Alligator mississippiensis: one gene and its partner. The protein of the gene in region 1 interacts with the protein of each later gene in a pairwise test. Links are inferred from orthologs where the notes say so. Each region holds a gene or a part of one and is shown in the gene's direction. Other genes may lie near its edges.

What was found. The genes of interacting proteins can lie anywhere in the genome.
Region 2: the proteins of FBLIM1 (region 1) and CUTA interact in binary tests that used the Homo sapiens proteins (3 or more experiments, as listed by UniProt). The two-hybrid records come from large-scale screens. The link is inferred for Alligator mississippiensis from reciprocal best matches to the Homo sapiens genes FBLIM1 and CUTA.

The regions. Positions count from the first base shown.
Region 1 is NC_081836.1:2,953,566-2,957,308, forward strand, and holds the start of FBLIM1 (filamin-binding LIM protein 1), read left to right. Parts: upstream 1-943; 5' UTR 944-1,262; intron 1,263-3,406; exon of another isoform or gene 3,407-3,638; intron 3,639-3,743. UniProt on the Homo sapiens protein: Serves as an anchoring site for cell-ECM adhesion proteins and filamin-containing actin filaments. Is implicated in cell shape modulation (spreading) and motility.
Region 2 is NC_081834.1:64,880,689-64,883,719, reverse strand, and holds CUTA (protein CutA), read left to right. Parts: upstream 1-779; 5' UTR 780-822; intron 823-1,029; 5' UTR 1,030-1,094; coding exon 1,095-1,112; intron 1,113-1,274; coding exon 1,275-1,423; intron 1,424-1,662; coding exon 1,663-1,722; intron 1,723-1,851; coding exon 1,852-1,897; intron 1,898-1,981; coding exon 1,982-2,031; intron 2,032-2,230; coding exon 2,231-2,333; 3' UTR 2,334-2,407; downstream 2,408-3,031. UniProt on the Homo sapiens protein: May form part of a complex of membrane proteins attached to acetylcholinesterase (AChE).

The DNA.
Region 1 (3,743 bases):
AAATGCAGGGTTACTATCCCTTTCTTACAGATGGGAGAAGCCAGGGCCCCCATAGTCTTTGTCTTCTCAAAATTAGCCCAAGGCAGACACCTCCTCCCTGGTGCCTTTCCAAGGGTGGCTGATTGTGGATTTAGACCCAGCCTTACAAAAGTGGCTGAACACTTTGTTTAATTAGATGATTTAATTAATCCTGTTAGGCAGAGGCTGACCAGACATCTCTCCCTGTGTCTCTCTACAGCCAGGGGAGAGGACAGCTGTGGTCCGCATCTGCTCTGACACAGCTGGGGGCAGACCCCAAACCGAGCCCAAGGTCATGCAGCGAGCGAGGCAACATCCGAGCCAGGGTCAGGACCGGGGCCTCCTAGCTCCTGTGGGTTTAGCCACGGGGTCAACATTTTGGGGGCACGAGCAGAGATGCTCCTTGTCGGCGGTTGATGGATGGAGATGCTCCCAGTCGATGGTAGCTGATGTCTACCACAGCTCCCAGATGGGGCTGGAGGTGACCGCAGGGCCACGGCCCCATTGTGGGTCCCTCCGCAGGGGAGAGGGTGGCAGGCTGGGCTCCCTCCGCTCTCTCCTCTTCCAGGGCAGGGCGCTTCCCCTCCAAGCGGACCGGACCGCAGTTGGTGGAGGTTGCGGCATCATCGGGGTCTGACGACGGCCAACAACTCCCAGGTGCCTGCCTTCCCCGCGCCCTGGAGCAGAGGGATGAGACATGGGGAGGGTCAATAAGGAGGAGGCTTCAAAGCACCGCCTGGCAGCAGAGGCTAGGCACCACCTGGGGTGGATGGCAGAGATGGGGGGCACTCCTGCCTCAGTTTCCCCAGCTGTAAATGGGGACACACTGGAGACAGTCCAGTGGAGGGCAATGAAAAGCGTTGGGGGGCTTATGAGGAGAGGCTGCGGGACCTGGGCTGGAAAAGAGAGGGCGGAGGGGGCTCGCATAGCAGGGGGCTGCTCCGGGCGCGGGCAGGCGGCAGAAGGAGCAGCAGCAGCAGGGGCAGCATTGGGAAGGCTGGCCTCCCTAGGCGGGCAGGAGGTGGGATCCCCATCCTGGGAGGCTGTGAAGACCCAAGCCTCGGCCGGGAGGGCGTCCTCCTGAGCGGTGCACGGGGCAGGAGCCGGTGCGGAGGCGCTGCGCGGCCGGCCGGGGCCGGGGCCGGGGCCGGGGCCGGGAAGGCGGCGCCTGGCCGGGAGCGGAGGAGGAGGAAGGGGCGGATGCTGCTGCCGGCTCTGCCTTCCCCGCGGCGGCCCCGGCCCAGGTAAGCGGCGCGGGTCGGCCCCGGGGAGCTCTTCGCCCCATTTCACAGACGGGAAAGTGCGTCCCGGCTCCCTTCCCACCGGGGCGGGGTGGGGGGGGGGGAGCTCCCCTCCAGCCCTGCGTCTCCGGGGCGGGGGGCTCCCACCACTAGGCGTGCTGGCCTGGGGAGGGCCAGAAGCGCCCCCTCCCCGCGCGGGGTGATGCAAGCCCAGCTTCCTTCCTAATGAAAGACACGCTGCCTCCTTCCTCAGCTGGACCCCCTCCCTCCGCCCGCTGCAGGGCTGAGACCCCGTCCCCCTGCAACCGTCGCCACCAGGACAGGGTGCCCTGGCACCTCCCGTTCTCCCCCGGGGTCCACCAGCCTTCACCCCGCCGGCCGGGCTGGGCTGGGGTGCCCCGGGCAGGCAAGGAGGGGGTGACGGTGCGAGCTCTGCGGCCAGGCACAAAGAGGAGCGCAGCCAGCACATGGTTTGCATTAGCCCCCGCACCGTGCTCCTGGGCCCAGCCAGCCTGGCCGCTTGGTCCCTGGGATATCGGTTGTTTTCAGTGCATTTGCCATGGGGGAGAAGCCCCGATTCCTCCCCCTGCACCTAATTTCATTTCATTGGGAGCTTGAAATGACTCCCCTGTCTGTAAAATGGGGCTAATGCCTCCCTGCCCCACCCCCGGGCAAGCTAGCAGGCTCTGTAAAGCGCTTGGGGGTGACGGGCCAGTCACTGGCTGGGCTCTGAGGGCAGCTGATAGCCTCCCCCAAACCCGTGCGTCTTCTGGCAGCGCTGCAACTGGAGCAGGACTGGCGGGGTGTGGCTGCCGGGCCACTAAACCTTATCCGAGATAGAGGTTAGCTGGCCCCTGTGGCCACAGCACTGGAGGATTTCCATTGTCTTTAACATCCTCTGCAAGATGGGGTGCTGCTCTCATTTCCATTGCACCAGCTGAGGCCTGGAGAGACTAAGTGACATGCCCCAGGGGCCGCGGGACATCCGTGGCAGAGCAGGGAACTGACCCCAGGTCTCTGCAGTGCCCGTGGGCCTGGCCAGCTGCTCCCCTGGGTGTGTGGCATGGCTGTCATCAAGGGAGGGTGTTGTATGGGGGTCGTAGGGGAGGTAGGACTCTTGGAGGTGGGGAGGAATCGGGGTCCCAGCAGGCAGTCTCCAGCTCCTGGGGGGACTGCCAGGACCCGATGCTGGCTAGTCAGACTTGGTGTAGCTCCATAGCTGGTCTGAGCATTCAGGATCGGGAGCAGACAGCAGCCCCCGCCTATGCCCCGCAGTGGGCCACGCTGCATCTCCTGCCCTGGGAGGCAGAGCCATTCATTGCACAGGTATTTTGTGGAGATGCCTGTGGGGATTAGGACACCCATCTCGCTAGAGCGGCACGTAACTATCCCAGCATTGCCAAAGTGGCTGAGCATGTTCGGGCAAAGTTTTTATCCTTGCAAATCAAGGCAGAAAAGCCTGGGGAAAGGCCCGGGTGCCGGAAACGACCGGGTGCAGAACAGCGTTGTGCTAGGAGAAAGGTGCCACTGCCCGTGACGGGAGCACCAGGCTTGCCTGGGGCTTGAATCCATGCAGGGTTTTGTCCCAGCGGGAGGATGGTTTGTGTCTCTTAGGGTCGTGGAAAAGACGGGCTGGAAAGGACCTTTAGATTTTGTGTGGCCCAGATCATGAGACCACTCCCTTAGCCCCATGCACAGCGTCCTGCTATCCTGCCCGTGAGCGGGGTGGAAGGGGGGCCCGGAGACCCTGGCAGCAGCACCAGGAGGGCAGTGCAGGGAGCAGCAAACCCAGAGGCGAGTTAACCCTGCACAGGCTGCATGTGGCCACCAGTTGTGGTCACCAGTTTGATGTGGCGCACGCATCCAGTGCAAGCCTGGCGCTCCCGTCACAGGCAGTGGCATCCAGTTGGACAGCCCTGATCTAGTCCAGCCCCCTGCGCTGAGGCAGGACCGAGCATATCCAGACCGTCTGGCAGGCCTGCAAAGTCCCGTTTCCCTGGGCACTGGAGAAAGGACCAGCAGCAGCCGAGTCCCTTGCTCAGAAATCCCCAGGTCTGCCATTCCAGCAAGCTCTGTGCCCAAGAAGCTCTGCCCCTCTCAAGGATGGGTCCTGGATCAGCAAGGGTTAAGCAGCCAGGCTTGCTCACCAGGTGGACTTCGTCATCCTGATGATTCGGAGCTATATCGTGTCTGACCTTGCCGGGAAGTGCAGAGGAAAGCCTGTGTCTCGGAGGAGGCATTAGTCACGCTTTGTGAGCAGCCACGTCTGGCGCACGGTCGGCAGTGGCTGGACCCCAGCAGCCAGGTGGAGGGTGGCATGGGCCTGGCCATTGTTCCTGAGGTTAAAGGGTGGCGTGGGCCTAAGTGTGGTTAAAGGACCTAAAAACGGTGAATGAAAACCAGTCAGGCTCTAGGCTGATCTAGCCCAGGATCCTGCGAGAGCTCCCGCAGCAGCACATGTGGAAATGGTTTCCCATGCCTCCC
Region 2 (3,031 bases), on another chromosome or scaffold:
AAGACACTCAGGGTGTGTGGACGCAGACACATGTTGGGGGTGCAGCGGTGCATGTGTGATGCCCACGTGCATACACGTGCAACGTGTGCTCACAGGGCAGCGGTGAGGACCTGGGGGCTGGGCCACCGGAGGGTGCCAGGCGCTCTGAGGGGGTGAATGCCACTACCCCTGGGGCAAGGGGCCAGCCGGCAGAGGGTGAGACTGCAGAGGGCCTGGGCCAGGCCGCATCCCAGGCCCTCCCCGGCGGGGTGTGATGGGGCGGCCTGACCCCGCCGTGCGCCGTTGTGTAACGGCTCCCGTTAGTGGGTCAGGAGAGCCGGCTCTGGGGACCGGGACGGGCGTTTCTAGGGCACCGCCGGGCTCCAGCAGGCACAGGCGTTCCTGATGCAGCGTGTGGCACGCGTGTGCAAAGGGACATGGGCGTGCAAGGCGTGGGGGCGCAGGGTAGGGCAGGCGGGAGGGGGCTGGGGGGCAGGCTGCAGATGGGGGGCAATTGAGAGGCGGGGACACTGGGAGTCCGGACGCCTGGGTCCCCACCCGGCTCTGGGAGAGGAGTGGGGGTTGGGCAGGGGAAGGGCGACTGGGAGCCAGACCTAGGGCCTGGAGCAGGGCAAGCCCCGGGGCCCCGGACGCCGGACCGGGGACCAGAGCCGGGCGGCACTAGGTGGAGGGCGGTGCGATGCGGTGCGGCGAAGGGGGGCGGGACCTGCCGGGTGACGTGGCGGGCGGGTGGGCGGGCCCGGGCGGCCACGTGGAGGCGCTGGGGTCATATGCGGGGGGAGGGGGCGGGGCCGAGCCAGACCGCGCTGGAGCCGCGAGCGGGTAGGAGCGGTGCGGGGCCGGGCGGGGTTCAGCCCCAGCCCCCGGGCCGGCAGAGGGCGCTGTCCCCCGCGGGCGGAGCTGGGGCGCGCTGGGCTGGGGCTGGGGCTGGCGCAGGGCGCGCTGCACCGTCCCCTCCAGGCAGCCCCGGGGGCAGTGCAGGGGCACGGCCGCAGCCGTCTGACCAGGCTCTGCCCCGCTGCCCCGCAGGGCAGGGCCTGGTGCCCCCGGATGCTTCCGGAGGGGACGGCGCCCCCCCGCTCCGGCGCCCCGCCATGAAGGCAGCGTGCTGCGTGAGTACTGCCCCAGCGGCGCTGGCGTGGGGGCCGCCTGCCGGGGGGCAGCGCTGCTACCAGCCCCCCCTGCCCGGGGGCTAGCCGGCGGTGCGGGGCCCGTGCCTGGGGGCGCGGGACCAGCCCTGACCTCCGCCCCGCCCCGCCCCGTCTGGCCGGCAGGTGCTGGTGGTGTCCCTGCTGATGGTGCCGCTGCTCCGGACGGTGTCTCAGCGTCTCTTCTCCATGGCCGCAGAGTCCTACGCCCCCGGCAGCCTCTCGGCTGCTTTCATCACCTGCCCCAACGAGACCGTGGCCAAGGAGATCGCCAGGTGCCCCCTCGGTCTGGGCTGGGGGGCAGCCAGGAGCCGGGACACCTGGGTTGTGCCCAGCTCTGGGGAGAGTATGTGGGGTCGGGTGGGCAAGAGCCCGGGGTCTGGGCCTGTTTCTGAACAGCTCTGGCGGTTGGGGGGAGCTGGGGTTGTTGGGGGGGAGCCTGGGCACCTGGGTTCTGCCCATCCCTTGCAACAGCAGCAGGGTCGTGGGCTTGATTGGTGTCCATGTGGAGCAGGGCGGTGGTGGAGAAGCACCTGGCAGCCTGCGTGAACATCATGCCGCAGATCACATCCATGTGAGTGTGAAGCATGGGAGTTGGGAGTGGGGGATGACTTGTTCAGCCCCATGCTGAGTGAGGGCCAGGGGGTGCTGGGGTATTTCGGAGGCTGATGCTCACTGGCTTCTGCTGCTCCTGGTCTTCCAGATACGAGTGGAAGGGGAAGATAGAGGAGGACAGCGAAGTGCTGCTGGTGAGTGCCTTGTGAGTGCAGAGCCCAGACTAGGACTGGGACCGGGGCCCAGAGGTGCCCTCTCACCCTCTTCTGTCTCCCCAGATGATTAAAACCCGGAGCTCCCGAATCCCAGCACTGGCTGAATATGTCCGGTAAGTGCTTTTGCTGATCTGGCAAAAGCCTGAAGGAGGAGGGAGGGAGGGAGGATGCAGCTGCCCCTAGTGGTGGAGCAGTTGAGCACCTGTTTGGGGGGCAGGGGGGTCCGAGCACCCTGCCCCAGGGCAAGCTGGGGCTCTAGGTAAGGTCGGGTGCTCAGCCCTGACCCTACTCTGACCTCCCATCCCCCTGCAGGTCCGTGCACCCATATGAGGTGGCCGAAGTGATCGCCCTTCCCATCCAGCAAGGGAATGCCCCCTACCTGCAGTGGGTACAGGAGACCGTGCCCTCTGAGTAAGACCTGCCAGTGGTCCAGCCAGAGCTGTGTGTTGGGGGCAACAACAGGCAATAAACCACATGCAGACACTTGTATTGGCCAAGTCAGCCCCTCTTTCACATGTAGCCTTAGTGGGGTCCATGCCAAGGCACCTGGGGTCTGCTGGCCTAGGGGTAGGGTAAGAACAAGGAAGGAAGGGACAGTGAGCCCGGATGCCTGGGTTCTCATGCAGGAGCCCCCAGTGACCAGTGAGAGTCTGGCTGCAGCAAGCTCTTTATTCTAGGTGTCTGTTTGTACAGTCAGACGGCGGCGGCAGTGGTGGCACACGGGTGGGGTGGGAGGGGAGGTCCGGGTGGCGTCTCTACAGCATGGGGGTGCAGGCGGGGGCATAGCTGTGCTGAGGGGACCCTTCCTCCTACCCTCTTTGCCAGACCCCAGCCAGGCCCAGTGGGGTCCCCCCTGCCCCCCAGCTCTGCTCCACTGAACCCTCTGCTGTGCCCCCCACCCCCAGCATGCCTCCTTTTAAATAGAATCTTTACAAAATAATAATAATAAAAAAGCAACAAGAAAATAAACCCTTTAAGTACCAGAAAGCCTCTGGCTGGTGGAGGTAGGGCCCCCAGCCCCCACTCTAGGTCCACACCAAAAGAGGTAGGACCCTCCCCTCCTACCTCCCTGGAACACTGCCCCTGCCCCCAGCCCCAGGACAGGCAGGGTCA